3 linked regions of the Arabidopsis thaliana genome follow. The protein of the gene in region 1 interacts with the protein of each later gene in a biochemical or structural test. Each region holds a gene or a part of one and is shown on either strand. Other genes may lie near its edges.

Evidence for each region. Proteins that work in one complex are often made in the same cells at the same time.
Region 2: the proteins of TWD1 (region 1) and HA2 form a complex in vitro, tested with the Arabidopsis thaliana proteins (one study listed by BioGRID).
Region 3: the proteins of TWD1 (region 1) and ABCB1 form a complex in vitro, tested with the Arabidopsis thaliana proteins (one study listed by BioGRID).

Annotation. Positions count from the first base shown.
Region 1 is NC_003074.8:7,617,719-7,624,347, reverse strand, and holds TWD1 (FKBP-type peptidyl-prolyl cis-trans isomerase family protein), read left to right. Parts: upstream 1-2,870; 5' UTR 2,871-2,997; intron 2,998-3,228; 5' UTR 3,229-3,250; coding exon 3,251-3,287; intron 3,288-3,567; coding exon 3,568-3,744; intron 3,745-3,859; coding exon 3,860-3,949; intron 3,950-4,189; coding exon 4,190-4,374; intron 4,375-4,485; coding exon 4,486-4,608; intron 4,609-4,748; coding exon 4,749-4,901; intron 4,902-4,990; coding exon 4,991-5,323; 3' UTR 5,324-5,497; downstream 5,498-6,629. Other genes in the region: AT3G21650 (Protein phosphatase 2A regulatory B subunit family protein), read left to right, coding at 936-2,189, 2,282-2,668; CERK1 (chitin elicitor receptor kinase 1), read left to right, coding at 5,818-6,457, 6,554-6,587. UniProt on the Arabidopsis thaliana protein: PPIases accelerate the folding of proteins. It catalyzes the cis-trans isomerization of proline imidic peptide bonds in oligopeptides.
Region 2 is NC_003075.7:14,769,301-14,777,891, forward strand, and holds HA2 (H[+]-ATPase 2), read right to left. Parts: upstream 6,759-8,591; 5' UTR 6,621-6,758; coding exon 6,579-6,620; intron 5,566-6,578; coding exon 5,446-5,565; intron 5,347-5,445; coding exon 5,110-5,346; intron 5,002-5,109; coding exon 4,240-5,001; intron 4,153-4,239; coding exon 4,030-4,152; intron 3,951-4,029; coding exon 3,846-3,950; intron 3,743-3,845; coding exon 3,598-3,742; intron 3,509-3,597; coding exon 3,006-3,508; intron 2,907-3,005; coding exon 2,874-2,906; intron 2,782-2,873; coding exon 2,700-2,781; intron 2,597-2,699; coding exon 2,436-2,596; intron 2,340-2,435; coding exon 2,166-2,339; intron 2,070-2,165; coding exon 1,705-2,069; intron 1,614-1,704; coding exon 1,520-1,613; 3' UTR 1,265-1,519; downstream 1-1,264. Other genes in the region: AT4G30180 (uncharacterized protein), read left to right, coding at 1-204. UniProt on the Arabidopsis thaliana protein: The plasma membrane H(+) ATPase of plants and fungi generates a proton gradient that drives the active transport of nutrients by H(+)-symport. The resulting external acidification and/or internal alkinization may mediate growth responses.
Region 3 is NC_003071.7:15,500,204-15,508,489, forward strand, and holds ABCB1 (ATP binding cassette subfamily B1), read left to right. Parts: upstream 1-1,522; 5' UTR 1,523-1,958; coding exon 1,959-2,222; intron 2,223-2,291; coding exon 2,292-2,346; intron 2,347-2,431; coding exon 2,432-2,607; intron 2,608-2,680; coding exon 2,681-2,881; intron 2,882-3,008; coding exon 3,009-3,268; intron 3,269-3,367; coding exon 3,368-3,684; intron 3,685-3,771; coding exon 3,772-3,995; intron 3,996-4,323; coding exon 4,324-4,697; intron 4,698-4,780; coding exon 4,781-5,498; intron 5,499-5,575; coding exon 5,576-6,847; 3' UTR 6,848-7,298; downstream 7,299-8,286. UniProt on the Arabidopsis thaliana protein: Brassinosteroid exporter that, in conjunction with ABCB19, supports the accumulation of exogenous brassinosteroids (BR) in the apoplast, thus promoting BR signaling initiation involving the specific receptor BRI1 and required for plant growth and stress responses.

The DNA of each region.
Region 1 (6,629 bases):
CAGTTTACGTACTTGTTGAGTTTTATACTTTTTATTCTCACACAAGTTTCTCTCCTTAACTATAGAAGTTAATTGATCAAATTAGGACGTTGATGGCGTCATAATGAAATGGGATTGGTGAATTAAACGAAAATTGACGACTTACTATTTGACGACCATGTAAAACGTTTACTTTTCAGGGTTGTTTTGACTTTTTTGACTCACCTGCCATTCTGTCAAACCGTGCGTGTCCATGTTTATTGATTTTTCCTTCTGTTCTTTCCACCTATGTGTGTGTGTCTCTGTGATGTTTATAAAAAAAAACAATAAATTTTTTTAGAAAATATCTGGATGTTCCAGGTTTGTTATTCGATTCAGAGCAAAACGATTAAGTGTTTAAATGGATTTAGATTTACAGTAAATATCCAGATAGAGAGAAAGAAGGATAAGGAGAGAAGAAAACGATTACTTTCTTCTATTCTTGTTCATTACAACCTTATAATCTCAACATTTGTTTTTTTTCTTTTGTTCTCTCTTTCTTACATATTTCTTTTGGATTTCGTTGTCTTTTTTTTTTCTCTCTTTTCTTCTCCTCTCTCTCGCTCGATTTCAATTTGGGCGAGAAAGGAGCGGTCTTTTGTCTTTCCTGGGTTTATCAGCTAGATCCCTCTTGCCTAAAGTTTGTAACTTTCTTAGGGTTTTCTTCTGATTTCCTCTCTCTCGGGGTTAATTCTGCTCAAAAATGTAAGCCCTTCTCCTTTTATTTCGTTTGTTAGATTTTGTTTTGCTTGATCTGATTCTGTTATGTAATTTTGGGTTCAGGGTTTGATTCAGAGGCAAATCTGGTTTTGTTTAGACAATAAAGTTCGGGACTTTTTGACATACTCACAGCTGGTTTTTAGCTTTGGTTCTTATAGAGAGTAATAGTAGTGAAGGGTTTGTGCCAATAGTTAGAAATGATCAAACAGATATTTGGGAAATTACCTAGAAAGCCTTCCAAATCATTGCAGAATGACTCCAATGGTGAAGGAGGTGTTAATAATTCTTATTATGCTTCGAATTCGAGTACTACTAGTATCTCTAAACCTTCTTCAACATCTTCGAAATCATCATCAGCCTCGGGTTCGCGTGTAGCTAATGGAACTCTTGCTCCTAACTCAATGAGCTCTAATAGGAATACTAATCAAGGGAAGAAACCATTGGGAGGAGATGCTGTTGTACAAGCTGGACCGTTTCCGTCTTCTGGTGGGGTTTATGAGGCTTTGCCTAGCTTTAGAGATGTTCCTATATCGGAGAAACCGAATCTCTTTATCGGGAAGTTGAGTATGTGCTGTGTTGTTTTTGACTTTAGTGATCCGTCTAAGAACCTTAAGGAGAAAGAGATTAAGAGGCAGACATTGCTTGAGCTTGTTGATTATGTTGCATCAGTTGGTTTTAAGTTTAACGATGTTTCGATGCAAGAGTTAACGAAGATGGTAGCGGTTAATCTGTTTAGAACTTTTCCTTCTGCGAATCACGAGAGTAAAATTCTTGAAATACATGATATGGATGATGAAGAACCTTCTTTGGAGCCAGCTTGGCCTCATGTTCAAGTTGTGTATGAGATTCTTCTCAGATTCGTGGCTTCTCCCATGACTGATGCAAAGCTTGCCAAGAGATATATTGACCATTCTTTTGTCTTGAAGCTCTTAGACTTGTTTGATTCTGAAGATCAAAGAGAGAGGGAATATCTAAAAACTATTCTGCATCGGGTGTACGGGAAGTTCATGGTGCATCGACCTTACATCAGAAAGGCGATAAACAATATCTTCTACAGATTCATATCCGAGACTGAAAAGCATAATGGCATTGCGGAGTTGCTAGAGATTCTTGGAAGTATAATTAATGGTTTTGCTTTGCCTTTAAAAGAAGAGCACAAGCTCTTCCTTTTGCGAGCCTTGATTCCTCTCCACAAGCCTAAATGTTCATCAGTCTATCACCAACAGCTTTCGTATTGCATTGTTCAGTTTGTAGAAAAGGACTTCAAGCTCGCTGATACCGTTATTAGAGGTCTTTTAAAATATTGGCCTGTGACTAACAGCTCAAAGGAAGTTATGTTTCTTGGAGAGTTAGAAGAAGTCTTGGAAGCAACTCAAGCCGCTGAGTTTCAACGTTGTATGGTTCCATTATCCCGACAAATTGCTCGATGCCTCAACAGTTCACATTTCCAGGTTCGAGTCTTTGACTATCATCACAACTTCATATCTATCTCTCTTGATAAAGTCTTGTACCTATATATGAAGTTGTACTTTTTGTTTGTCAGGTTGCTGAAAGAGCATTGTTTCTATGGAACAACGATCACATAAGAAACCTGATCACTCAGAACCATAAAGTGATAATGCCTATAGTCTTCCCAGCTCTTGAGAGAAACACGCGTGGACATTGGAACCAAGCAGTTCAAAGTCTGACTATAAACGTGAGGAAAGTATTATGCGAGATTGACCAAGTTCTTTTCGACGAGTGTTTAGCCAAATTCCAAGTAGAAGAAGTGAATAAAACAGAGGTTAAAGCGAAACGGGAAAGGACATGGCAACGGTTAGAAGATTTAGCTACTTCAAAGACCGTTGTAACCAACGAGGCAGTACTGGTTCCAAGATTTGTGTCCTCAGTCAATCTTACTACAAGCAGCTCTGAGTCCACAGGGTCGTAGTAGGCTCTCGTAGGTTACTATGTACTTGTAACAAATATTTGTGGTCACTATAGAAATGGTTCTTGAGAGACGACTGTATAATTATTTTTTTAAATTATAATCTTTTGGGTCAAATTGAGAATATTTGATATTATTTTACTGAATTATAATAAACGCCGTTAAAACTCTCGTTAGTTAACGGCTGACTCTGAAGTGAAAACTGAAAAGTCGAAGGGTCTCTTTATATTTTCAGAATCAAAATCTGAAATTTATCTCTCGGTCGATCCAGTCTTCGTGAGTGACTTCGACGACGACGACGAGTCACACTACTCTTGAGCTTCTCATACTTCGTAAGTTCACTCTCCTCTTCTCTAAATTGACAAACTTTTTCTTCGTTTTCTGCTATTATTGACGACGAGACTTGATTTTGTTTTGAAATGAAATGGTTCAAGTAGCTGACTTCGACTATGTTCTTTTGGGTTTTTGTCATTGAATCTTACTTGTCTGATTTGGTCGATGTTTAATCAATTCAACACTTAAAGATTCAATTTTTGGATTGACACTTGCACATTTTTATTCAGACCCAGGTTGATTTGGGAAATAATGGATGAATCTCTGGAGCATCAAACTCAAACACATGGTAAGTAAATTTTCATAGATTTAATCTCTCTGAATACATATATATGACTTCAATATGTTTGATTGGAGTTTTTTTGTTGTCCCATATTCAATTGGATGCTTTGTTAAAGGATAAATGTCTATCAAATTATGTTGACTGCGTTATTCTTTCTAAATCATATTGTGAATCTTGGAACAAAGCATGTATACAACAAATTTGTTAGACTTGATAACTCCTTTTCTGTTTGTTAAGAATTGAGAATGACTATTGGGGTTGACTAATGCATCTTTTGTGGCTCCAGACCAAGAGAGCGAAATAGTTACTGAAGGAAGTGCCGTTGTGCATAGTGAGCCATCTCAAGAGGGTAATGTTCCTCCTAAAGTTGATAGTGAAGCTGAGGTCTTGGATGAGAAAGTCAGTAAGCAGATTATAAAGGAAGGTCACGGTTCCAAACCATCCAAGTACTCTACATGCTTTTGTAAGTACCCTTTAGCTTTCTGTTGATTGGATGTTGATTTTTCGATTGCACTTGTTGGCCTATTGCTACTGTTTATTTGAATCTTTCTATCTGACCAATTTCATATTGGCCATAGTGCACTACAGGGCATGGACCAAAAACTCGCAGCACAAATTTGAGGATACATGGCATGAGCAGCAACCTATTGAATTGGTTCTTGGAAAAGGTATGTGGCTGTCGAATATGTACTCTACACCTCCATTTCGTTAGATGAATCGTCATTGGTAAATTTGATGAGTTAGCTTGTGTATTATATGAACCCAATGAGATGGATATTTGGGAGGAAAAAAGATTGAGTTTTGTATTTTTTTTGCTTCAATGCTGATTAGCCCATTTTAACGTCACTATACAATTTTTTTTATAAAAAAGATTGTGCACTAAGAGTGAAATGTTGTCTGTGAGACAGAGAAAAAAGAACTAGCCGGTTTAGCCATCGGTGTTGCTAGCATGAAGTCTGGTGAACGTGCGCTTGTGCATGTTGGCTGGGAATTAGCTTATGGGAAAGAAGGAAACTTTTCTTTTCCGAATGTTCCACCTATGGCAGACTTGTTATATGAGGTGGAAGTTATTGGGTTTGATGAAACAAAGGAGGTAAGTTATTTCCTATACCATCATCTTGTTTCCTTACCAAGACGACTCCACATCCAAGCTTTATCCCAACCTCCTTGCTTACCTCTCTGACTTAGATGATGTATTGAACAGGGAAAAGCTCGCAGTGATATGACTGTAGAGGAAAGGATTGGTGCAGCAGACAGAAGAAAAATGGATGGGAATTCTCTTTTTAAGGAGGAGAAACTGGAGGAAGCCATGCAACAGTATGAAATGGTTATGCATCTCTCTCTATCTCTATCTCTCTTTCCAACAATTACGGTCAAAGTTTAGGTTTTCAGGCATACTTAGTGAGTCTGCTCGAGGCTCTTGTGTCTTCTTTCGGCTTTTGATTAGTCATGGTTTTGCTGTTTCAGGCCATAGCATACATGGGGGACGATTTTATGTTTCAGCTGTATGGGAAGTACCAGGATATGGCTTTAGCAGTTAAAAACCCATGCCATCTTAACATAGCAGCTTGCCTCATCAAACTAAAACGATACGATGAAGCAATTGGTCACTGCAACATTGTAAGACTCATCAAACCATTCATTTGAAGAAAATCATTAAAGTTCATACTCGGTTTCTCGAAATCTAATCAAACTCAAAACCTTATCAGGTGTTGACAGAAGAAGAGAAAAACCCAAAAGCACTGTTCAGAAGAGGGAAAGCAAAGGCAGAGCTAGGACAGATGGACTCAGCACGTGATGATTTCCGAAAGGCACAAAAGTATGCTCCTGACGACAAGGCGATTAGAAGAGAGCTACGAGCACTTGCAGAGCAAGAGAAAGCCTTGTACCAAAAGCAGAAAGAAATGTACAAAGGAATATTCAAAGGGAAAGATGAAGGTGGTGCTAAGTCAAAGAGCCTTTTTTGGTTGATAGTGTTATGGCAATGGTTTGTTTCCCTTTTCTCCCGTATCTTTCGACGCCACAGAGTTAAAGCAGATTAATGTATGAAGAAGGGTAACAATTCAACTCTAAAAGACCAACGTGAAAGATCTACCCCCATTTCTTATTAGTGAGAATTTTGAAAAATATTTTATATAAGAAAAAAAAATAGTCTCTATTGTTTTCGATTATAAAGTAACTTTATATTTTGATCCAAAAAAATAAATTTTTAACAAAAAACATACAAAATTCGAACGTAAAATCTACTTCCTTCAACAGAAATGGCGGTCTTCATAGTTTTTGTCTTTGACCAAAGACTTTCAAATTCCAGCTGCTAGTTGCATTAAATGATCTTAGTATTATTAATTAATTAAGAAACTTCTCAACAATTAACAAACACTAATCAGTAATCATCATTCTCTTTAGTTGAAAAAAATAGTCAACGTTTGATTAAGTCAACCTTTTTCGTCTTTGAATCCATCTTCTTCCCCACAGAGCAACGACGAAACAAAAAAAACAGAGACCCTTCCTCTGGGGAATCTAAGGAAGCTTCAAAATGAAGCTAAAGATTTCTCTAATCGCTCCGATTCTTCTTCTCTTCTCATTCTTCTTCGCCGTGGAATCTAAGTGCAGGACTAGCTGTCCTTTAGCTCTAGCTTCGTACTATCTCGAGAACGGAACAACACTCTCCGTCATCAACCAAAACCTCAATTCTTCAATCGCGCCTTACGATCAAATCAATTTCGATCCAATCCTCAGGTACAACAGTAACATTAAAGACAAAGATAGAATCCAGATGGGCTCTAGGGTTCTTGTACCTTTCCCTTGCGAATGTCAACCTGGTGATTTCCTAGGGCACAATTTCAGCTACAGTGTTCGACAGGAAGATACTTACGAAAGAGTCGCGATTAGTAATTACGCGAATCTCACGACGATGGAGTCGTTACAGGCGAGGAATCCTTTTCCGGCGACTAACATACCTCTCTCTGCGACGCTTAATGTATTGGTGAATTGTTCTTGTGGTGATGAGAGTGTTTCGAAAGATTTTGGTTTGTTTGTTACGTATCCGCTTCGTCCTGAAGACAGTCTCAGTTCTATTGCGAGATCTTCCGGTGTATCGGCGGATATTCTGCAGAGATATAATCCCGGTGTTAATTTTAACTCCGGGAATGGAATCGTTTATGTGCCTGGAAGAGGTACAAAGATTGATCTTTGATGATTTGTGACACAAATTGTTATAAATGTAGTAATGATTGTTGAAGTTTATGTACATGTTCCTGTGTTTTTTGCAGATCCAAATGGTGCATTTCCACCATTCAAATCAAGGTTGTTTTTGTTGTTGTTAAGATTGTATCTTTGTTCATTTTG
Region 2 (8,591 bases), on another chromosome or scaffold:
GGAATTCGGATTCTTGAAAGACCCGATAAAGAAGGCGGAAACGAAGAAGGAGGGATAGAGGAGAGACTGAGGGAATTGAAGAAGCTTTTGCCAGGTGGGGAAGAGATGAATGTGGAAGAAATGTTGAGTGAGATTGGTAACTACATTAAATGTCTTGAGTTGCAGACGATTGCTCTCAAGTCCATTGTTCAAGATAGTACTTGACTTTTAGTTTAAGTGTATAATTTATAGTTTGTTTCATGTTTTTTTTGTTGTCTTTAAACGAAAATCATCTGTGTTTTTTTTTTTCTCTTGATTTCTTTAAGAACAAGAGCATGTATTATAGTGTTTTTCTTTTTTCCTTTTCTTAATTAATCATGGTTACCGAAATACCTAAAGTACCACACATGGCCGTTTATACGTACATCTTATAAAATTCGATCAAAATCTGATTGAAATTTAAATTATTGGTTGTAATGCCAAATAGACGATGTGCTGCCTAAAATAAAACTCTTATGTTGTCTTTTTTTCCTGAATTTATTATTTTAATGTTATGAGCAAATCTCCAAACTTTAATATTCTAATCATTTTAACCTGACAAACTTTGTGTTTGTGTATATATTTATATTCCTGCAAGTTTTTTTTCTCCTTTAGCGAAAACATATGAACTTTCGACTACAAAAAATCAGATGTAACAAATCTTCAATTAAATAAAAGCTACACATTAGTAGAGATCACCAATATGTTCCAGCTGCAGTAACTACAGGTGCACCATTAAAATGTAAACAAAAATTAGGACTACTGGACTAGAATTACTTTCCAAAAAATTCGATGAATATGAAAAACAAAACGCCGAAATTGTAAATATCTAAAAAGGAGGAAAGTTGGATGACATATGTGTAAACTATGAAAGTCATAACATTGATTTGAAGTCATCATCCATATCTTTGCACGTGTCTCACAGTCACTCGCACGCATCCAAATCTCTCTATTTCTCTTAAGATTCTAGCCGTACTACTTCCACACAACTTGTCTCATGTCATGTTTTTAATGGCATTTTTAAAGGATAGTGTTATTTAATTGATTTGGTTTCAGTGAAAAAAAAAAAGAAAAAATTATGGTTATTTCCCTTCTTTACAACAAACAAAATTTGATTTAAATAAGCAAATTGTTTGTTGTCCCTAGGTATAAATAACATTTAGGTACTATATATAAAAGTAAAGAAGCCGGAAGAAAAGTTGGATTACGAAAAAGAAGAAGATTAAGATTACATAGGCTCATGGAATAAGAGCAAAGAAGAGAATGTGCATGTGCCAAATGCCAAACACAAAGGCATGCCTTGTTTCTTCAAAAGAGCAAATTATGCAAAAGTACATATTTGAGAAACAAGAACACTAACAATAAGGTTTGGGAAGAGTTATGGCAATAAACAAAGATCTCTCCCTATGTGAATAATAATCATAAGAGGTGGTGAAGAAAAAAAGAAGAAGAAGAAGACAAAACATGAGAGGATCGAAGATCAGTCATATGTTTGGTTTTACTACACAGTGTAGTGACTGGGAGTTTCAATGTCCAAGCCCTTTAGCTTCACGACTGATTCCACATGTCCCTTGAGTGTGTGCAGCTCCCTAAGCCTGTTTAACATATAACAATTCAATTAGTGTTTAATTCCAACAAAAAAATACACTTAGATTAAAAAGAATCGTGTGTGATCGGATTTATTACCTAGCGATCTCAGCTCTTCTCTTAGCTTGCTCAGCGATCTCAGACAATTCTCTGTAACTTCCTTTCTCAGGGAAGATGTTAACAGCTTCTTTTGGCTGTAAACCGTGAAGTGTCCTTTGAGCAAGTGCCCATTGAGCCTCTCTCTCTTCTTTTCCGTAATCTTTCTTCATCGTGAAAGCCGTCTTGTTCTCAAACAAGTTGAGCCACGCCTTTCCGCTCAAGATGTATCGAATGGCAAACTTGAAAACGTCCAATGGGAAGTATGTGACAATACTGTATAGCCAGATCACACCAGCCCATCCCCATCCAATACCCCTAATCTTTGCAAATTCCCAGTTGGCGTAAACCGCAATCAAAGTAGCAATCTGCATTTGGAAGAATGAATGGATTTAACGGGTGCTTCTTTGAGAACCTTTTTACCAAACAAGAATTCCCTTAAAATGTTGATTTGATGAACTTACCAGTTGTGCAATGAGGAAAGCAATCATCAGCAATGCTCCAGGACGTTCAACAAAAGACCAACTCCTTGATCTTGTGACGAAGATCAGAGCTTGACTAATGATACTAACTTGTAAGTACACCGCACCCATTAGCTCGTGGTTATTGTCCCTAATGGACCTCACACCGAATGTGTCCTGTGAATCCAATGTGAAATTTACTTTACAACTCTGAACAAGAACCTAAGAAAAAACTTCTGTAAAAGAGAAATTAATTAGCTCAATTGTATGTACCGAGAAAAAGTCAGTCTTGTGCGCCGCCCAGAAGAAAATAACAGTCATGATGGCCTGGTAGCCTCCTAGAACGACTCCAGTAGCAAAAATTTCTTTAAGTTTCCAGCTATCAGGTGTGGGAGATGGCTTAACTCTGTCCTTTGAGATTGTCATGATGGTACCTATAAGATCAAGATAGCAACACAATACCAAAAGATATAAGTAAACATTGTAGAAAAAGTAAACAAATTTTGAGGTTTATACAAAAGGACAGCCATTGCTCACCGTCGTTAAGAATGGCAATGATCAGAACCATGAAGGCTGAGAAGTCAAATTCCCATATCAAAGCAATAAGCATGAAACCAAACTGCAAAAAGTTTCAACGCAATATGATCAGCATACTATTAATCCAAGATAAAACCAACAAGGGCCAGAACTCAAACGGATTTATTTGCATACCACAATACGGATGGTGATTGAGACTGCATAGATCTGTAACAAGAGAGAAAAATAGAACAGAGTAATTAGTTTCAATTGCAAGCAAGCAAGTGGTTGGAATAAATTAAGGATGAAAAATAGGAGAAGACGCACAGTATAGTTCTTCATTCTCTGGAAAATAGCTCTGCTGGTGAGAACAGCACTGATAATAACGCTGAGTCCAGGCTCAGTGAGCACGATATCTGAAGCACCACGAGCAGCATCTGTAGCATCAGCAACAGCAATACCGATATCAGCTTTCTTTAGAGCAGGGGCATCATTGACACCATCACCAGTCATTCCAACAATATGCTTCCTCTCCTGCAACTTTTTCACAATTTCGTATTTGTGCTCTGCAATAAAAAAAACAAAGCTTAGAACTAACATCACCACCTTTGCAATGAACATATAGTGAGGTTTATAATCCAAACAATAAATAAGCAGATTATAACCTGGGAAGACTCCGGCAAATCCATCAGCCTTTTCAATCAACTCCTCAACAGGAATGGATGCGAGGTTTGCGTCTTTGTGTGTACCAAGAAGAGCCGAAGATGGATACATGTTTGTTCCCATTCCAAGTCTGCGACCAGTTTCCTTACCAATAGCAAGTTGGTCACCTGGCCACATATGTGTTCAAGAGAATGTTAGGGGGAACTTGTGAAGGTGTATAGCTAGCACAACAAGATAGATGGGTAGACAAATTTACCAGTGATCATCTTGACGTTAACACCAAGATTCAAAGCCCGTCGAATTGTTTCAGCACTGTCATGTCTTGGGGGATCAAAAAGTGGCAACAAGCCAACAAATTCCCATGGCGCACCTGGGCTTTCCTTTGTTTTCTCTGGCACCACCTACAAAAGGGAATAAGAAGACAAACAGTTGAACATTTGTTACCACTGAGAAAAGAAAAGCAAAAAGGGACTGGAACTATCAGTATTAATGGCGAATAAGTACCTGGCGAGCAACAGCCAACGACCTAAGACCACGCTCAGCATACTTGTCAATAATGGAGAGCACCTTCTTGCTAAGATCATTGCTGGCTTTGGCAAGTTCGAGGATCTGTTGGGAGAATCAAATCAGTATAAAAAAGAAAGGTAAGAAAAAAAAAGGATTAGCTTGTAAAATTAAGATCCATCACCTGCTCAGGAGCACCTTTACTGACTCTGTGCCAGTTACCACTGCCGTCAATGTAAGTCAAAGCAGTTCTCTTATCCACAGGGTTGAATGGAAGGAAGTGAACTTCCCTGATTCCAGCTCTAGCCTGTGAAAATCCCAATCAAACATCAGAACATGTTTCTTGGACGCTCAGTAAAACTACAAATAACATGTGAACCAAAAAGGGTTATACCTCCTTTGGATCAGCAAGCATCCCAACCATGGCTGCATCAATGGCATCCTGGTTCTCAACCCTGGAAGCCATAGCTGCAAATAATAGGACTTGATCTTTCTCCACACCCTTGCAGAAAACCTCGACCAAGTTTTTGTCCACACTCAATTTGTTGAGGGTTAGTGTCCCGGTTTTGTCACTGCACAGGACATCCATTCCTGCCATCTCTTCAATGGCAGTCATACGCTTGGTGATGGCACCTTGCTGAGACAACCTGTGAGACCCAATAGCCATGGTCACGGACAAGACTGTAGGCATAGCAATGGGGATACCACCGATCAAGAGGACCAAAAGGTTGTCAATTCCATCTCTGTACTTTCGGCGTTGGATCGGATACATGACGATGATCTCAATCACCATACCGATAGCAATGGAACAGATACAGAAGTTCCCAATGGCTGTAAGAACCTTCTGGAAATGTCCAACTTGGTTAGTGCTGTCCACAAGGTGAGCAGCTTTACCGAAGAAGGTATGAACCCCAGTGGCAATAACAACCGCCTCGATTTCTCCTTGTTTGCAGGTTGAACCAGAGAAAACTTCTTGACCCGGGTGCTTGGTTACAGGAAGGGACTCTCCAGTTAGAGCAGATTGGTCAACCTTTAAAGGATCACCTTCAAGTAGACGGGCATCAGCTGGGATAATGTCTCCTAATTTAATGCTAACAATATCTCCTGGGACAAGAATAGCAGCTTCTTGTTCACTCCACTTTCCATCCCTAAGAACCTGAAACAGAGAAACATCACAACAAGAACCAAAACATTAGCTCTAGGGAAAATTCAGAAAGTTCTGTATAACAAATTCACACCATTCATTCTCTTATCATATATATACCTTGGTTTTAGGAGCAAGACCAGCCATAAGAGCAGCAGCAGCATTACCAGCATTGTTTTCTTCGATAAAACTGATGGTAGAGTTGATAACCAACAGACAGATAATACCAACAAAATCCTGCCAATCCGGAGGCCTACCATCACCGTTGGCCAAAGCAATGGCCATGATTGCAGCCATTTCCATGACCCATGAAAGTGGATTCCACATAAACCCCAAAAACTTCAGAAGTTTGCTTTCCTGTCAATTTTCATTGCACAAATCACCAAACACTCAGTAACAAAAAAAAAGGAGACCAACTATGTATTTTATCTGAGAGCTACAAATGCAAAATCAGACCTTTTTCTCTTCGAGCTTGTTGGGGCCAAAGATCTGAATCCTGTCCTCCCCTTCCTGCGTTGTCAATCCTTCCCTTGAACATTTTAGCTGCTGGAAAACTTCCTCAATCGGAATTTTTTCCTGAAAAAATCAAAAGCAAATTCGATCAGATGACCAAATCCAAACAACTCAAACTTTCACATACACAAAACAAGTTTCTAAACCTTAAAAAGGAGAAACCTTTTCTTAAGTAAAACAGAAAACTTTGATGATTTTGTAACCGTAGATAAATCTACTCTGTTTCATAAGTACAATAGTTGGAAAAAAGTCGTTGACTAGTTCGGTGACAATGAAATATTTTTGGCGGGGGGGAAATAGCGGTGGTGAAGTGGGGACCGCCACCACCGACCAACGTGATGGCGACGTGAAACACACGCGCCGAAAGATTCCCCTCACTTCCCGGCGTAAAAATCGAGGCTTGGTCGCGTAAATACAGTCCAAAGTTATGTAAAAGTAGCATTTTAATAAAAAAGATTCAAATTATTGTCCCAAGAAACACAGAAAAGAAGTTACGTCTGCACAAAAGATGTGTTCTTTTTTGTTGGTTGCTAAAGACAGAGAAGTTAAACGTACCACGGAAAGGTACAACCAAAAAAAAAATCCGAACTTCGTGTTAAGTAACAGATTTGATTAAAGTCATATTTATTTTTTCTAAATACCACCAAATAAATTCTTACTAGTAACCAAAAAAAGAGAAGACAAAACATTGTACAAGTAGGTTTGGACTTTATTGAGACGTAGCTAGCTCCACCACTGAAAAAAGAGACTCTGTTTTCTTTATCTTGTTTGTTTACTAGTATATCACATGCTTAGATCTACTTTTTTCTCATGAACAAACTCTTCATGTCCTCCAAACGTTTCTTAGACTTAATTACTACCCAGAAACAAAAATATAGTCTTTCTAAACAAATTTCACATATTCAAAACTAAATCGATGAAAATGTATATATAAAAAACGAAACCATAATGAGAGTAAGTAATAACCAAGGAAAGACTTTAAAGCCACCAAGTGGATACAGATCTACTCTCATTCAGGCAGATCATCGAACAGTTTGTGAGCATAAAATAAAAACAGAGGATAAAAAATGGTATACCAGATCAACAGTCTCGTTCTTGATATCTTCGAGACTCGACATCTCTCACCACTCCTTCACTGAGAAAAACGACGGCGAATTAGTACTCAACACGACAGCTTTGTCCGCCGTTTCACTCGATCATATGTATTCCGGCAAAATAGAGAGAAGGAGAGGAGGAGAGATTAGGTGGTTCTGTTGCAGAGTCGATACGAGTCCTCTTTTTATAAGCCACTAAAAACGACGATTTTCTCCGCCGTTTTGGCTATGTGGGTCCCATTACCAAGTAGTCTCTCTATATTTATTACCCTTTTTATTTATTTTGCTGCCTCTTTAAGTTCTTAATCACCCTTTGACCGTTGATTAATGTAATATTTTTGGCTTATGAACCCGAATCAAATTTGTATATATTTTGTGGGTCCTAATTACACTTTAATTATGGAATAATTGTTCATTTTAAACAACAAAATTTTCTACCGTTAATAATTCTTATTTTCTTTTTATTTTGAGATATTTTGATGTTTTATAGTAGTTTGAAAAGGGACTCTAAGGAGGAAGTAGCTTATAAGAGAAACTAATTTGTAATATCTCTTTTTTTAATTACTAGATCATAGACTTTGGTGTTTTTTTTCTTTCTTTTGTCATGAATCATTATATCAAGAAAGAAATATTTGGTGGAGGTATACATTGCTTGGATTTTTTAATTTATATTTGACTAAGCAACATACTACTTGCTGCTTAGCCTGTCCTCTTCTTCATTTTTCTTTTTTTTTTTTTGGACACCTATTAGGTTTTGTTTAAAGAAAGATATTTCTTTCTGAAAATTTCAACTAATACTATATTTTCTTAACAAAATCGTTTTCCAACTGGTTTAGGTTCGTTTTTTCTAAATTTGTTTTTTCGATAAGCAATAATGGGTTACTTCGGTTTTGTTTCCATTTTTTCTTTCTCAACCATACAAATACTTCTCCAAGCCAAAACACTTTAAATCTCTGAAATTTTGACAGAGATGCTTATAACAAAAACTACATACCTTGATTAAGCAGGTAAGAAAACTACTTTTTCTTACTATTTTTACATTATATCAGTTGGTGTGGATCGTAATTAGTTACGACGGACTAATTTATATAGTAGTAATTTGTAGAATAGTAATTTTAATATATATAGTTATTTGTGGCCCTAACGTTGATAATGAAAATATTGGCCCTTCCAAGGTGTGCCTCATGGCAAGGTCAGCAATGGGAACGATGTCACATGTTAATAATTGAATAAAAACCATAGTGTTAATTAAATTTGTTCCCTCTGAAGATATACTGAGAAATTGACTTTTGATTGTGATGGGTCCCCCAATAATACAAAGTTCGTCATTTCCAACTCCTCTACGTTTTAACTTCTTAGGATTCATGTCCTAATTAATAAGTGTTCAAGTCTAAACAAACGTCTCGTAAATTAGGTAAAGAGAATATGTACAAGATACGAAAATCATTTCTTGTCTTTTCTTTTCTTTTCACAAATGATGGATAGAAAAATTGTAAACAAAATGATTTTATTTATCACATTTTTTTATCATGGGGTAACAAGTTTTAGATTATTGTATACAGTAACATACTTTACATATATATCATACTATTTATTTGAATAAAATACAAAAAGACATCACTTATTTACAGTTTGCCACAATATTTCTTTACCAATATAATTTTGGTAATCTAGTAAAATAAGTTCACTATGTATTTAATTTTGCAGCTCAAATGAACCTTAACTAAATTATTTAAAATATAAGATATAATATATTATCATCTAGTTGACTTAAATGACTCTTACAAACACATTTAAAAACTTATCATGTCATATATATGAAGGAAAGAGGCAAAATTTGTCCTTAATGCACACTATACATATAGAAAAGAACATCTGAATAGCCATATATCATATAACTACTAGCATAGTCCTAAAATAATCAAGGAGTTTACAGTCGCATAGGTACATATATGACTGAAAAATGAAAAACCATTTTGTTGACCTCATTAGTAC
Region 3 (8,286 bases), on another chromosome or scaffold:
TGTCTTACTCTGACTCTGATTTTATTTCTTTTTAATTAAATAATCACATAAATAATTCACTATCACGACTTTCGTTTTTCCATTTAAATTAAACTAAACCGGTTAGATTCGTTTTTCTTCACCAGGTTAATGTGAACCCCAATTTTTCTATTTTGTTAATGATGTTTTATAATTGTGATTAATACAATTAGAAAATATCTAATAATTAAAGTTGAGACCATAATTAAAGGAAAGGGAACTATTGTGTGAACATATATATATTCTTACACACTCGCAGAGCAACCCTTCTTCACTTGGGCTCATTGGAATGTGATATCCCAAAAAGAAAAGGCAAAACAAACTACTACTAAAAAAGTTGAGATAGTAAAAATACAATTGTACTTTATCATATAATAATTCAATGTACAACAAAACTCAACTACCAAAGTTTGCTTATTACTCTCAAAGAAAAAAACACTGATTAAAAATAGCAAAAGAGATTTGTTTATCTATATGAAAAATAAACTTATATAGAAATTCTTATATGATTAGTTGCAATTGTAGGTGTAACATTTAATCGTTGATTTGTTTTTTTTTTTGGGGTGCATTTCTCTTGTAGTTGTAACAATATTTCACACTTAAGACTTTCAGACAATAGTTTAAAAACAACCGAACAGAAGTTGCAGGTACCTATAACTTGTGTATGAATCCATCCACAGTTTTGTAAACGTTGACTGTTTGACATTTTGAATGTAATTTTATTTAATTAGATCCTACACAACAATAATCACATCTATAATTTGCCAATACATTTTAATAAAACCACTTAACAAAATGGTTTTAACTTTTAATCCAGTAATTTTCTGTAGTTGGTGTCATGATTTATAACTACTGTACACATTTCCAAGATCTAACGAACAATCATAATCGATAATAATTGTACCTACCAAATTTGGTCTAAAAAAATAGAAGAAGTGATTATATATATATTCTTTTTTGTTTTTGATGCTAAATATTTTTTTTTTAATGTGATTATCGTTTATCATTGCACCTCACGGTAATTATTATTGTTTTTCCCTGATTTTATAAAAAAGATATATAGAGAGATTATTGAGACCAATGAAGAGCAGAAACTGTTGGGAGTCAAAAAAAACTTATCTCCAATTTCTAACAGTGTTCTATGTCGGATTCCATCAATCTCTCTCTCTTCCATCATCTGTCACTTTCTTTGTTTTCTACGCAACAAGAAACCGAAGAAAAAAAAATAACAATTTACTAAAGTATTAATTCCTTTTTTTGTGTGACAAAATAAAAACCCACTAAAAAGCAAACGATTCCAAGAACATGGAAACAAATGTGTAAAAAGGAAATAAAAACATCAAGCGTGGGCTGAAAATCACTACACGAAAATCCAAATTTTGGTAATTCTATTAAATTTTTTAAGTTGGTAATAAAGAGAATAAATACACAAATTGACTGGCCAGTACACAAGTTGACTGATTAATCGCAAATTATACATAATTAATAATTAAAAAACGGTAAAAAACGTTAATAAATAAGGAAATAAATCAAAACAAATGAAGAGTGGGATTAGTAAAGTATTAAAGAAAGCATATAGAGCGGAAGAAAACTGAAGATGGAAGATTATAAAAATAAGTGTTGTGAAGAAGAAGCTATTCGATTTTTATAGTCTTGAGTTTTATTTTATTTTAATAAGAAAACAAAATAAGATTTTTAAAAAATAGTATATTATTTATTTATTAATTTTCTTCAGGGCTGTTGTGGTTTTTGAGGTTCTCTATAAAGCAAAGTAAGAAAACATCTACACAAATGTCCCAACAATCTGATCAGAAAAAAGTAGACGAAGAAGAAGAAATTAAGTCACTTGAACAATGGCGTTGGTCCGAAATGCAAGGCCTTGAGCTTCTCCCTCATAACACCAACAACAACTCACGAAGCTCCAGAGAAACTCACCGGAAATGGATAATGACGGTGGTGCTCCTCCTCCTCCGCCGACACTAGTGGTGGAAGAGCCTAAGAAAGCAGAGATTCGTGGAGTTGCTTTTAAAGAGCTATTCAGATTCGCCGACGGATTAGATTATGTATTGATGGGAATTGGCTCTGTTGGTGCTTTTGTCCATGGCTGCTCTTTACCTCTGTTTCTTCGATTCTTCGCCGATCTTGTTAATTCCTTTGGTTCTAATTCTAATAACGTTGAAAAGATGATGGAAGAAGTTCTCAAGGTACTAACTTTATTTCTTTCTCTTCATCTTCAATCTTTGAAAACACTAACTTGTTTTTGGTTATTGCAGTATGCGCTTTACTTTTTAGTGGTTGGTGCTGCAATCTGGGCTTCCTCTTGGGCAGGTTAGAAGAAAGTTACTTAAAGATCTAAACTTTTATACTGTTCTCTTGATCTGATTCGGTTTTAAATATGGTTTCGTTGTTGCAGAGATTTCGTGTTGGATGTGGAGTGGAGAGAGACAAACAACGAAGATGAGGATTAAGTATTTAGAAGCAGCTTTGAATCAAGACATTCAGTTCTTTGATACAGAAGTTCGAACTTCAGATGTTGTCTTCGCCATTAACACCGACGCTGTTATGGTTCAAGACGCCATTAGTGAGAAAGTAAGAATCTTCAAATTCTTAGTCTTTTTGTTTCTTCTTCCTTATCTGATCTGTTTTTTTTTGGGAATCTCAGCTTGGTAATTTCATCCATTACATGGCGACTTTTGTTTCTGGATTCATCGTGGGTTTCACTGCGGTGTGGCAACTAGCTTTAGTGACTCTCGCGGTGGTTCCGTTGATTGCTGTGATCGGAGGAATTCACACCACTACTCTCTCTAAACTATCTAATAAGAGTCAAGAGTCTCTTTCACAAGCTGGTAATATCGTCGAACAGGTAGAGTGCACAAATCCCTAGAAATAAATAAATAAAGTTTCTATTTTTGTCAAATCCAGTAATCATCAGATCATTCTATCATCTGGTTTTTTTTTGGGTCTGATTCAATTTCTGAAAAAAATGGCAGACAGTGGTACAAATCAGGGTAGTGATGGCTTTCGTTGGAGAATCAAGAGCTTCACAAGCTTATTCATCAGCTTTGAAGATTGCTCAGAAGCTTGGTTACAAAACAGGTTTAGCTAAAGGAATGGGACTTGGTGCTACATACTTCGTTGTCTTTTGTTGTTACGCTCTCTTGCTTTGGTACGGTGGTTATCTAGTTCGCCACCATTTGACCAACGGTGGTCTCGCTATTGCCACAATGTTCGCCGTTATGATTGGTGGATTGTAAGCAACTCTTTGCTCTTCTCTGTTCATCACTCTTGTTATCATTTGGTTTGATATTGGTTTGTTGATGGTGATGAGTTTTTTTATTTTTGTTTAAAGGGCATTGGGACAATCAGCACCGAGCATGGCTGCATTTGCCAAAGCAAAGGTTGCTGCTGCAAAGATCTTTAGAATCATTGATCACAAACCAACGATAGAGCGTAACAGCGAGTCCGGTGTGGAGTTAGACTCAGTCACGGGTCTTGTCGAGCTTAAAAATGTGGACTTTTCGTATCCGTCAAGGCCAGATGTTAAGATTCTTAACAACTTCTGCCTCTCTGTTCCTGCTGGGAAGACCATTGCTTTGGTTGGGAGCAGTGGTTCAGGAAAAAGCACAGTCGTTTCGCTTATAGAGCGGTTTTACGACCCGAACTCAGGTTAACAATCTTAACATTCTGTTACATTTCAAGCTGTTTTGTTCGAGCATTGTTATTTTAATTAACACGGTGTTATCGTCTCTGCAGGACAAGTTTTACTAGATGGGCAAGACCTGAAGACGCTGAAACTGAGATGGTTAAGGCAACAGATAGGGCTAGTGAGTCAAGAACCTGCATTATTCGCCACTTCTATCAAGGAGAATATACTCTTAGGCCGTCCTGACGCAGATCAAGTCGAGATAGAGGAGGCTGCTCGAGTCGCAAATGCTCATTCCTTTATCATCAAACTACCTGATGGCTTCGACACACAGGTCTGATGGTTTATGTGAATCTGTGTTCTTTTGTTTCTTCAATTATTCATTAGTTTAAGGTATTTTGAAAGAGTCAAAAGAGAGAAGAGGTATGGTCATGGAAAAGCATTTATAACAGAGTAACATGGGTTTGGTCAACAACGCATGTGAGACCCAGACAAGTAGTTTTAGTCATGTGTCTTGATGTTGAATTTTTTTTAGTGTTCATGTGCTTGTTTTTTTTCTTGCTACTTTAACTTGAAAACCAGCAACCACTATTCCAATGGATTTTTAATCCAGATAGACATATGTTTGTTTATACTCATGTGGTAAATGTGAATAATGTCAGGTTGGGGAGAGAGGATTGCAGCTGTCTGGTGGGCAGAAGCAAAGAATAGCGATAGCAAGAGCGATGTTGAAGAACCCGGCGATACTTCTATTAGATGAGGCGACGAGTGCATTGGATTCTGAATCAGAGAAGCTTGTACAAGAGGCTTTGGATCGTTTCATGATTGGAAGGACTACTCTCATCATTGCTCATCGCCTTTCTACCATTCGAAAAGCTGACCTTGTTGCTGTGCTACAGCAAGGAAGTGTCTCTGAGATTGGAACGCATGATGAGCTTTTTTCCAAGGGAGAAAATGGAGTCTATGCTAAGCTAATTAAAATGCAAGAAGCAGCTCACGAAACCGCCATGAGCAATGCAAGAAAGAGTAGCGCAAGGTATACTCTTATTCATTTTGTGTTTGTTTTTTGTTTTGATGATGCTTTTTTTTGGGTTACTGATGTTAATCTATTTGTTGCAGACCGTCGAGTGCTAGAAACTCGGTTAGCTCGCCAATAATGACTCGGAATTCGTCGTATGGAAGATCACCTTATTCACGGAGACTATCCGATTTCTCAACTTCTGATTTTAGCCTCTCCATTGACGCTTCGTCCTACCCAAACTATAGAAACGAGAAGCTGGCCTTCAAGGATCAAGCCAATTCATTCTGGCGACTAGCTAAAATGAACTCTCCAGAGTGGAAATACGCTTTGCTCGGTTCAGTAGGCTCTGTCATTTGTGGCTCCCTTAGTGCATTCTTCGCATATGTCCTCAGTGCAGTCTTAAGCGTCTACTACAACCCGGACCACGAATACATGATCAAACAGATTGATAAGTACTGTTATCTCTTAATCGGTCTCTCTTCCGCAGCACTTGTCTTCAACACGCTCCAGCATTCTTTCTGGGACATTGTGGGTGAGAATCTGACCAAGAGAGTCCGTGAGAAGATGCTGAGCGCTGTACTCAAGAATGAGATGGCTTGGTTTGATCAAGAGGAGAACGAAAGTGCAAGAATCGCAGCAAGATTAGCTCTTGATGCTAATAATGTGAGATCTGCGATAGGAGATAGAATATCGGTTATTGTGCAGAACACAGCACTGATGCTTGTTGCTTGCACTGCCGGGTTTGTTCTACAATGGAGACTCGCACTTGTCCTTGTCGCAGTCTTCCCCGTAGTTGTTGCTGCAACTGTCTTACAGGTTTGTGTTCTTTTAAAGCATGTGCATGCTCTCATTGTTGTTCTTGGATCTGAAACTTTGTCTTGTCTTTTGAACAGAAAATGTTCATGACTGGTTTCTCGGGAGACCTGGAAGCGGCACATGCCAAGGGAACGCAGCTTGCTGGTGAAGCCATAGCTAATGTCAGGACAGTTGCTGCATTTAACTCGGAGGCAAAGATTGTCCGTCTCTACACTGCAAACCTCGAACCACCATTGAAACGATGCTTCTGGAAAGGACAGATCGCTGGAAGTGGTTATGGTGTAGCTCAGTTCTGTCTTTATGCATCTTATGCTCTCGGGCTATGGTACGCATCATGGCTTGTGAAACACGGCATCTCTGACTTCTCCAAAACCATAAGAGTCTTCATGGTTCTGATGGTCTCAGCCAATGGTGCAGCAGAGACACTCACACTGGCTCCTGATTTCATCAAAGGTGGTCAAGCTATGCGGTCTGTTTTCGAACTTCTTGACCGGAAAACCGAGATTGAACCTGATGATCCTGATACCACCCCGGTCCCAGACCGGTTACGTGGTGAAGTCGAGCTCAAACATATCGATTTCTCTTACCCTTCAAGGCCAGACATCCAGATTTTCCGTGACCTTAGCCTTCGTGCTAGAGCTGGCAAAACCCTAGCTCTTGTGGGTCCAAGCGGGTGCGGAAAAAGCTCAGTTATCTCCCTCATCCAGAGATTCTACGAACCTTCCTCAGGCCGAGTCATGATCGACGGGAAAGACATAAGGAAATACAACCTGAAAGCCATAAGGAAACACATAGCCATAGTCCCTCAAGAGCCGTGCTTGTTCGGAACTACCATTTACGAAAACATTGCATATGGACATGAATGTGCGACCGAAGCAGAGATCATACAAGCCGCGACTCTAGCCAGTGCGCACAAATTCATATCCGCGCTACCAGAAGGTTACAAAACGTATGTTGGCGAGAGAGGCGTTCAGCTCTCGGGAGGACAGAAACAGAGGATCGCGATCGCACGTGCCCTCGTGAGGAAAGCAGAGATCATGCTGCTTGACGAGGCTACAAGCGCTCTTGATGCAGAGTCCGAGAGATCAGTCCAAGAAGCATTAGACCAGGCTTGCTCTGGTAGAACATCAATAGTCGTGGCTCATAGGCTATCTACAATCAGGAACGCACACGTGATCGCTGTCATCGATGATGGAAAAGTGGCTGAACAAGGATCGCATTCGCATCTTCTCAAGAACCATCCTGATGGAATCTACGCGCGAATGATACAGTTGCAAAGATTTACGCATACACAAGTGATTGGTATGACGTCAGGTTCAAGTTCTAGGGTTAAGGAAGATGATGCTTAGTACTTACTACTTTGGTCATATAGAAGAAAAAAGAAGGAGAGTAAAAAACAACAAACACCAGAAGATGTTTCTGATAAAAAACTCTACGAACTCATCATTTTCTCTTTTTTTCTTTCTGTTTTGATTTTGGGGTTACTTATTTTTGGAACTACGTTTCAGATTTGATGGTATAGTATTATTATTGTGTATTATCATAATTAATCTAATTTTTCACCTCTGTAATATCCATTTATATGCCATATCAATCTATGAGCCTCTGCCTTTCTAGTGAAGTGAAGAAGGTGATGATGAGAGGTATGTATCTCATAATCATCGAGGCACTTGTTACCATATATATTGGTTTGGTCTTGTTCTAGATTTCAGGATAAGCCTAACTTTTCAATCATGAGATCCGTTCTAAAAGAAATATTATGGTATATGATGAAAATGTAATCTTTTAAGGTTTTTAATTGTATTGGTTAGATGGGTGATGGGTCTCGAATGTTGTGGGTCTATTTTAAAATCTATTGTGTGTACATCATGCTTTTATACTAGATCATGATTAGTAATGTAAGCATATAAATAATTAACTATGACAATATTGTCAAAAAGAATGCTTTAGATGTATAGACACACGAACATACGTGGGGAACAAAATTATGAAGATGAGAAAACAGAAGATGAGAAAAAGAAGATGGGTCCAAAAAGGACATTGAATGAGATGATGAGACCCAAAGCTAAAACAATAATGAAAAAAAGAAAGAAAAGACAACATTTCTTTTGTGTTTATATAACTTTTTATGAACAAAACAATTCTTGACTTCGTTTCTTTGTGCAACACACGCGTGCGACCACACACACATATATGCATATGGGACACACACCATGATGATGATGACTACTTTGTTTTAGCTGTTGAATGCAAATAAATTTGTGTTTAATTATGAACAAACTTGGAAATTATAGTGGTGGAGAAGAAGAAGCACTAGCTCCTCTCGGCACATGTCGTTCACTAATTGAGAAATTCATAGAAGGCCAATAATTTAAGCTACAGTACTGGAATTCCCCACTTTCTATTAATAAAAGTTTAACAATGTCACCAAGGTTTTTTTACTCTTATTTTTTTTTTATGTAAAGTAGCATGGATACTGGAACTTGAACTACATTTATAACTTTTACAAATCAACGCAAGATTTTTTTTGTAAGATTAGATTATATTTTTGTGAACACCGTGAAAATGCAAATTAAAAATAATGAAAAGATATGCAACAGATGGATACTGGGAGTGGGACATAAGAAAAGCTCTGAAGATAAAACATGCGCAAGCAGAGAAATGGTATAGATCAAGATGAGATTTGCACCTCGATCCGTTTGATATTCAAGTCTATTACGCCTATTCCTAATCCAAAGAGGAACAGCGTTAGAAGAGTCATTTATCAAGGTGTTGCGGATGATGAATT